2 linked regions of the Macaca fascicularis genome follow. The protein of the gene in region 1 purifies or fractionates together with the protein of each later gene. This does not show direct contact. Links are inferred from orthologs where the notes say so. Each region holds a gene or a part of one and is shown on either strand. Other genes may lie near its edges.

Region 1 (4,260 bases):
CTGGCTAAAAAAACACAGCATAACTCCTCATTGTGGTGAGAGGAGGGAGGTGACAAGGAGAGGAGGATAGTTCAGGTGAGGAAAATTTTCCAACCGATCTATTTGAATACCAGGTCATCCTAAAGCCACACCTGTCTCGTGGGTGGGGCAACACGTGGGGTAGACCATCGAGCCCCTCTATTCCCAGCGTAAAGCCAGGTAGCCAGAGCGTGCAGGGGAAAGAGATAGGCGGGAGAGACCCCTCCTACGACGCAGGATCTGCCTTTAAACGCCCAAAGTTCTGAAGCTTAAGAGGAATCGTGCCCTTCCCACGCCCGCGACCTCCGGTGCCCAAGGCCTCAAGCGGTCACGGTTAGGAGGGCGGAAGCTCCCCTTCCCCGCCCCGCCCCGGGGAGGAGGGTGCTAAGGCCCTCGGGAGGGAGGGGACGCGTGTTTACAAACAAGGGGGCGGGAGCGCCAGGAAAACCAGAGGAGGGTGTGGGGGAGGGGTTGCAGATAACGCGGTTACTGGCTCGCCTGCCCTTCTGCTGGGACACTCACCCCGCCCGCTGTCGCCCATCCCGTCCCGTCCAGCCTCCCCCGGCTCCGGCTCCGGGGTTTGTTGTTCTCCGCCTGCCACCGCCGCCGCCGCCGCCGCTGCGGGATCCAGCCAGGGCCGTCGCCGCCGCCACCGGGACGCGACCCCACAATGCATTTCTTTTCGCACCCCCACCGGCCCACACTGCCCTGCGGCATGCCGCTGAGGGAGGAAGGGCGGGCGAGCGGCCCAAGACATATCCCTGGCTGAGAGTAGGGATACCGAAGAGCTCCCAGGGATTCCCAGGGGTTGATCGGAGGAGTAGCTGAGCACGTAGAAGCCCCTGAGAGAAAGACTCTGGCCTGGATTGGGTAGAATTAAGCCCGTCGCTCTGCTCTGTACCAAAATGACAGCGCCAATGTGGCAGCCATCTTTGTACAGACGGGAAGTCTCGGCGCGAGTTCCCGCCCCCTCGTCTAGTTGGAAACCGAGGAGGCGGTCTCCTCCGGCCTGTTAGCCCGCCTTGCCCACCCTCCCCTCAAATAACCTCCACACTCGCGCATGCGCATCAGTGCAGGATGGATTCGTCGCTACAAGAGTACCGCCATATTGGTAAAGGCACTAGGACGAAGGTGGAACGGAACTTCCTGTTCTCGCGGGAGCTAAAGGCGGGACTGCCACGTCCGAGCAAACCGGGAAAGGAGAGGATCCCGGAGCTGGTGAGAATTCTCTGTTTTTCTCTACCATCCTTTCTAGGCCTTTTCCTTACCTAATGAGTCATAGAGACGAGGGCCCAGAGAGTCTGTAAAGTGGCTGGTGAAAGACTAGTGTCCCAGGGCCCTACATCCGGGAGGGGGTTCGGGATAAAGAGAACTAGTCTTGGGAACAATGTAGGTAGGTGGGAACTTAAGGGAATGGGAGAGCGGCCCATAGAGGTGGACGGAGGGCGCTATTGGAGTAAAGCTGACCCTGTGTAGGTATAGAGTTGAGTCAAGTGGAGTCACTGTCTCTGTCCCTCTGGTCAGCGTGATGGCCAGAGGCCTGGGGGCCCCCCACTGGGTGGCCGTGGGACTGCTGACCTGGGCGGCCTTGGGGCTTCTGGTGGCTGGACTCGCGGGTCATGACGACCTGCACGACGATCTGCAAGAGGACTTCCATGGCCACAGTCACAGGCACTCACATGAAGATTTCCACCATGGACACAGCCATGCCCATGGCCATGGCCACACTCACGAGAGCATCTGGCATGGACATACCCACGGTCACGACCATGGACATTCACATGAGGATTTACACCATGGCCATAGCCATGGCCACTCCCATGAGAGCCTCTTCCACAGAGGACATGGACATGACCATGAGCATAGCCATGGAGGCTATGGGGAGTCTGGGGCTCCAGGCATCAAGCAGGACCTGGATGCTGTCACTCTCTGGGCTTATGTGAGTCTCCAGGGGATGGGAGAGAGAGGGGCTGGTTCTGGATTGTTGGAAAACACCACAGTACTTGACCCTGACTCTCCCTCACCAGGCACTGGGGGCCACAGTGCTGATCTCAGCAGCTCCATTTTTTGTCCTCTTCCTTATCCCCGTGGAGTCAAACTCCCCCCGGCATCGCTCTCTACTTCAGATCTTGCTCAGTTTTGCTTCCGGTGGCCTCCTGGGAGATGCCTTCCTGCACCTCATTCCTCATGCTCTTGGTAAGTAACCTCTGACTTCTACCTCAAATCTAACCTATTTTGTTCTTTGGGGGAAAAGGGTTCTTTCTCCTTTATGATCCCTGACCTTTCGATATTCCCCCAAATATACACCCTTTGTGTCAGATATTCCCTCATCTGGTTTTCCCCCCATCTTCCAGAACCTCATTCTCACCACACTCTGGAGCAACACGGACATGGACACTCCCACAGTGGTGAGGAAGAGACAGATGGGGATGGGAGTTGGGGTGCTGGGGAAGGTCTGTCTCTCCCTATTCCTCACCTCCTGCACTTGAGGAGGAGGAGTCTGTAATGCACATCTCCTTTAATGTCTCAATGCCTCCATTCCCAGGCCAGGGCCCCATTCTGTCTGTGGGACTGTGGGTTCTCAGTGGAATTGTTGCCTTTCTTGTTGTGGAGAAATTTGTGAGACATGTGAAAGGAGGACATGGTCACAGTCATGGACATGGACACGCTCACAGTCACACACATGGAAGTCATGGACATGGAAGACAAGGTGAGCCCAGGAACAACTTTCCCGAAAGCTGACTTGCCTGCCTCAGAGTCTCCTCATCTTACGGCCCTCAGGAGGGAGAGGACATGTTGGAAGATCTGTTCTCCACGCTGACTAACTCTTTTCTTCCCTCAGAGCGTTCTAACAAGGAGAAGCAGAGCTCAGAAGAAGAAGAAAAGGAAACAGGGGGGGTTCAGAAGAGGCGAGGAGGGAGCACGGTACCCAAAGATGGGCCAGTGAGACCTCAGAATGCTGAAGAAGAAAAAAGAGGCTTAGGTAAGGGCCAGAGTTGGTCATAAATTTGGGCAAGGGACATCATCACAAATCACATGGAATATGTGCTGTGGGTAATGGCAGGTGTCTCGGAAACACTAAAAGACTGGGTGTGAAGTGGTCTCTGAGGGGAGGTGTGAGAATAACTGACCAAGACTGAACAAGTGGTGATGGAGGCCTCTGATCATTTTCTCTTCTCGTCCTGTACAAGATCTGCGTGTGTCAGGGTACCTGAATCTGGCTGCTGACTTGGCACACAACTTCACTGATGGTCTGGCCATTGGGGCTTCCTTTCGAGGGGGTCGGGGGCTAGGGATCCTGACCACAATGACTGTCCTGCTACATGAAGTGCCCCATGAGGTCGGAGACTTTGCCATCTTGGTCCAGTCTGGCTGCAGCAAAAAGCAGGTTGGTGATGTCTGCCAAACACAGCTACCTCAAACCCTTTATTTCTCCTCACTCACCCTAAACCCAAACAGCCTCTTGTTAGTTCCAAACAATTCATACTGTCATTGACAAGTCCTCTAGAAATGAGGGGAAAGAAGTTCTGGTTACTTGGTCCTTTAGCTCAGTATTTCTTAAACTGTGGTCTATAAACCATCTGAATGGTTTAGTGGAGTCTTACACACACACGCCTACTCAATCAGAAAGTCTGGAAAGGACCTCTGATCGCTAAGATTTTTCAGAAATTGTCTATTCTAGACTGCCCCCTCCTCTCTTTTTACTTTGATGTTTAGTTTCCAAATCCATGTCCCCTATACCTACACCCCACCAGCCACTTCTAAACCACTGATAATCTTTAGCTATTGGTGAGTGCGTTTTTCTCTTTTCTGCCCATCAGGCAATGCGTCTGCAACTACTGACAGCAGTAGGGGCACTGGCAGGCACAGCCTGTGCCCTTCTCACTGAAGGAGGAGCAGTGGGCAGTGAAGTTGCAGGTGGTGCAGGTCCTGGCTGGGTCCTGCCATTTACTGCAGGTGGCTTTATCTACGTAGCAACAGTGTCTGTGTTGCCCGAGCTGCTGAGGGAGGCATCACCATTGCAGTCACTTCTGGAGGTGCTGGGGCTGCTGGGGGGAGTTGTCATGATGGTGCTGATTGCCCATCTCGAGTGAGGCGTGAGATAAACTACTCCTGCCCCAAACTTCTACCCCTAACTCCAGGTCAGTGGTGTGTAGAGGTTGGGGGCCCTGGCCAGGGACATCTGCCAAAGGAAGGAACTGTAGACTGGGAGAATGGTTACTTTGGCATTAGGGCCTTCAA
Region 2 (4,533 bases), on another chromosome or scaffold:
CTTTGGTCAAGCTGGGATTAACTAACTTAAGCTAACCTTGGCTGCATTTGGTGCCAGGCTGTAGGTTTAGTTATAGTTTATGCCAGATGTCTCGTCTACTAGGATCAGAGGACTATCTGGGTCATGTTCTTCTCAAGGTTAGGGCCAGAACTCTCTGCAGAGAGGGCAGGAAAGTGTAAGGGGGAAAAGGAATAATGAGAGGTGTAAGTGTGTGTATGAGTGTGTGTGTGTATGTGTGTGTGTGTGTGTGTGTTTCTGGCTCTCTCTCTGTATATATCTATATCTGTCTCTCTTTTAGCAATGAAAACAATAACTTACTCAAAAGACCCACGTATACCCCACGTATACCTTGACAGGCCACTTCTAGTTATCTGCACAAACTGAAGTTCCGTATTACCCAAGTCAAAGAGGCAAGGAAGATATTATTGAAGACTACTGCTGTCAGGAAAGGGGATAGAACTCTTCTAAGCTCAACTCCTCTAAAAGAAACAAAGGAGTGCAGAGTTTTTAACAGCTATTTTGGGAAGATCATGGGCCACCTGAGTTTTCTGATTGACTTTACCCAAAGGAAAAGTAAATTTTCTCTTCCATGACAGGGGGTGGTTTTACAACTGGAAACGAAAAGCCTACAGCAGTTAGGCTCCTATGCTCTCACACAAAATAAGAGATGGCCCACTATCTTCCCTGCTGATTACCTTTCAAAGTCATGGCTTTCCATACCATACCCTTGAGATAGTTTTCAATTACAAAACTGGCCAGAAGCTTTAAAAAATATTTACATCTGAAAAGGGAAGAGAAAGAACTTACAACGGTAAAGTTTTCTAAAGTAAATGCTCTTCATATATATATATGCACACACACACACACACACATATATGTATATACACTTCAAGTTCTACGGTACATGTACACAATGTGCAGGTTACATATGTATACCTGTGTCATGTTGGTGTGCTGCACCCATTAACTCGTCACTTACATTAGGTGTATCTCCTAATGCTATCCCTCCCCCTACCCCACGACAGGCCCCGGAGTGTGATGTTCCCCATCCTGTGTCCAAGTGTTCTCACTGTCCAATTCCCACCAATGCGTTAGAACATGCGGTGTTTGGTTTTCTGTCCTTGCAATAGTTTGCTCAGAATGATGGTTTCCAGCTTCATCAATGTCCCTGCAAAGGACATGAACTCATCACAAGTAAATGCTCTTTAGAAAGGGAGGTCAGGGATCCATAGGCAGGGAAAAAAGCCTGCTTAAAGCTTGTAATCAAGCTGAGGAAAACTAAGCCCTTCTGGCTTACAGATTAAATGTGTTATTGCAGTTTGACACGAATGAATTCAGAAAATGAGTTTCCAGTCTCTCTGGGTTCCTGCATGAGAGGGTTGCTGTACATGTTACACAATCTCTTTTTGTCTACTTACTTTCTTAATAAGCATCCTTGACCGCTCCTCACTAACAGTGAAAAGTGCAAAGCTTTCAGAACGCTCACCTCCTCGCTTTTTACACAAGTGCGCTTGCGCACTAGGCGCTGGGGCTCTGACGTCACCAAGTGCACCCTGCCCCTACCAGTTAGCAACCGAAGGCGTCCTTAGCAGCAGTGGCCGCTGAGATGTACGAACTTCCGGTCCTCCAGGCAGCTGCCACTGCTATAGCCTCTGCCACCTGCCACGACCGGGCCTCTCCCTGGCGTTTGGTCACCTCTGCTTCATTCTCCACCGCGCCCATGGTCCCTCTTGGAGCCAGGGTGGCGGGCGCGGCAGCTTCCGGGTGGTGAGAGCGCGGTCCGGGAACGATGAAGGCCTCGCAGTGCTGCTGCTGTCTCAGCCACCTCTTGGCTTCCGTCCTCCTCCTGCTGCTGCTGCCTGAGCTAAGCGGGCCCCTGGCAGTCCTGCTGCAGGCAGCCGAGGCCGCGCAAGGTCCTGGGCCTCCTGACCCTAGACCACGGACATTGCCGCCGCTGCCACCGGGCCCTACCGCTGCCCAGCAGCCGGGCCGTGGTCTGGCTGAAGCTGCGGGGCCGCAGGGCTCCGAGGGAGGCAATGGAAGCAGCCCTGTGGCCGGGCTTGAGGCGGACGATCACGGAGGGAAGGCCGGGGAAGGCTCAGTGGGTGGCGGCCTTGCTGTGAGCCCCAACCCTGGCGACAAGCCCATGACCCAACGGGCCCTGACCGTGTTGATGGTGGTGAGCGGCGCGGTGCTGGTGTACTTCGTGGTCAGGACGGTCAGGTGAGGCAAAGCCTCGGTGGGGCACCCCCGTGGGCCTGAGATACGCAGGCCAGTGATCTCCAGCAAGGCTGACTTCTGTGACCCTATACCCTTCCCCAGCATCAGGGACTCGTGCCTAAGAATATGACATTGACCTTCTTAAAGGCCTGTTACCTTTGGAGCAGTTTAAACCTATAACTAATTGCTGCCATTTGTTTATAAATTAGTGCCTTACCTCCAAATCTCTTCATCTGACCTATGACCCACGTCAGCCTCAAAGGACACCCTTTCTCTGAAGTGAAGATAATCTTTATTCCCTAGAATTTTGACTACTCTGTCTTGTAATATTTCTACTTTTCTAGTCTACATTTTTGTATACCTAACTGGTCAAAATTGTGCCTATCAGAATGCAAACTCTTGAAAGACATGATATCTATTTAGTAGGTTTGTGAGTCTTACAAATTATTTGTACAGTGCTGCCACTTAATAGGAAATCAATATATATTTGAGTGGATTAATAGTAATATGGGGGTGCCTTATGGATATTTTATTTTTATAAAATTCAGGAGAAGAAAAGTTCTTCCTTACTATCAGTGTTTCCTAGTGTTGGCCTTTAATCTGCCACCTAAGTAATTCACTTATACCTAATTAGTTGAGAATCACCTTCCTGAAGATTTGACATACAGAGCCAAGACCTCACCATTAGAAGCCAGCAAAGACACAAGGTGAGGGAAAGCTGTCTAGCAGTTTCCTTCATTATAACATAAGTGTAGAGGGTAGGTTTGCAGATTGTGTTTATTGTTTTCAAAATTACTTCACGTTTTTCCCATAATTACCCTCTGTATTGTAATTTAACATATTTCTTTAAACTGATTATTTAAAACCAAACTTTCCTTTTAAACAAGTCGTTATTATCATGAGTGGAAAACCAACATCACCATCACTTGACTGGTTAAAAAATAGTGTAAGCCAGTAGTTCCTGACATGTGGGCCAGGGAACCACACAGTTGGGAGTTTCACTAGACCTCTTCAGGGGACCTACAGTATTAAAACTATTTTCAAAATAATACATTCTGTTACAGGCTTATAGGGTACAAATAGTTCACTGATATTATTTCAGATTCCACATTGCAACTAATCTTTAAGACACTGCTTGTCAAGCTTTGGTGTAGTAGTATCATAAAGGAATAACCACTCAAATATAAAAAGGCTATTACAATGTTTCTTTCCATTCCAAATTTATATCTGTGTGAAGATGGAATTACTTTATATGCTTCAACCAAACAACACATTGCAAAGGATTTAATGCAGAAGTAAATATAAAAATCTGTTTCCTATTTTTTGTTTCTATTTTTTATCTACTCCTATCACTTTAAGTCAGATATTAAAGGGAATTGGAAATAAAAATCTAAATGTCATTCTTTTTACCTTTTTTTTTCTTTTTTGAAAAATAGTTGTTTTTCATAAAGGTTATGTTAACCTGTAATGTGCTTACTATTATTTTAAATCAGTTGATACGTATAGGTTTTCTCAAGTTTAATTAATATGTTAAAAGTTGACATGTGTAATTCACATAAATATAAGTTCTTTTGAGTTCCTGAACAATTTTAAGAATGTAAAGAAATCCAAAACCATGAGTGTAAGCAATATTTGAGAACCACATGTGTAAGCAATATTATTTGAGCTAGATATTGTTGGTTCACAAAGGCCAGCAAATCTGCACTCACACTCTAAGTGTTAAAAGAATATTGCCACCAAATTGAAACTTTCTTCTTAATGTAAAGAAAGATTAAAAGAATATTGAAACAAATTATTTTCCTCACTATATAACTGTTATTTACTGCTGTCTATATATATTTTCTATAAAAATGCATGGCCCCTTGAGTGTTATATCTCTTATACATGTAAATTATAGAATAATGATAATTTGGGGGGAATATTCCTTGCTTTTTTTTTTCTTTTGCTTCCACCTTTTAAATAATTTTAAATACACATATTTATTACCTTGATTTTCTGTCATTATTGTTGTAAAACTTGGACAGATACAATCTTTCCAATCTGATCCTATTGCATGATTTGGTAACATGATGTGTGTTAACAGCCAAATTCTGAACTATGGCTAATAAAAACTGCATTCTTTAACCAGCATCTAACACATTCATGCAGTCCAAGTCCTACATTTAGTTGGCTGCCTGGCATCCAAAGCTTGAATGATGCTAACAGTGTCTGCGCAGTGTTCAGAACTCACACTTTTTGCTTCCAGATTATAGTTTTCTTCATTATCTTGGTGAATGCTCATTTTGGCTACCATTTTCAAACTATGTATGACAG

Evidence for each region.
Region 2: the proteins of SLC39A7 (region 1) and FAM174A purify together in Homo sapiens (co-immunoprecipitation; 3 studies listed by BioGRID and IntAct, with this or other methods). This does not show direct contact. The link is inferred for Macaca fascicularis from reciprocal best matches to the Homo sapiens genes SLC39A7 and FAM174A.

The regions. Positions count from the first base shown.
Region 1 is NC_088378.1:138,500,857-138,505,116, reverse strand, and holds the start of SLC39A7 (zinc transporter SLC39A7), read left to right. Parts: upstream 1-1,187; 5' UTR 1,188-1,236; intron 1,237-1,542; 5' UTR 1,543-1,546; coding exon 1,547-1,957; intron 1,958-2,045; coding exon 2,046-2,214; intron 2,215-2,372; coding exon 2,373-2,426; intron 2,427-2,563; coding exon 2,564-2,728; intron 2,729-2,860; coding exon 2,861-3,001; intron 3,002-3,209; coding exon 3,210-3,406; intron 3,407-3,839; coding exon 3,840-4,112; 3' UTR 4,113-4,260. Other genes in the region: RXRB (retinoic acid receptor RXR-beta), read right to left, coding at 541-775. UniProt on the Homo sapiens protein: Transports Zn(2+) from the endoplasmic reticulum (ER)/Golgi apparatus to the cytosol, playing an essential role in the regulation of cytosolic zinc levels.
Region 2 is NC_088380.1:106,952,779-106,957,311, forward strand, and holds the start of FAM174A (membrane protein FAM174A), read left to right. Parts: upstream 1-1,603; 5' UTR 1,604-1,789; coding exon 1,790-2,223; intron 2,224-4,533.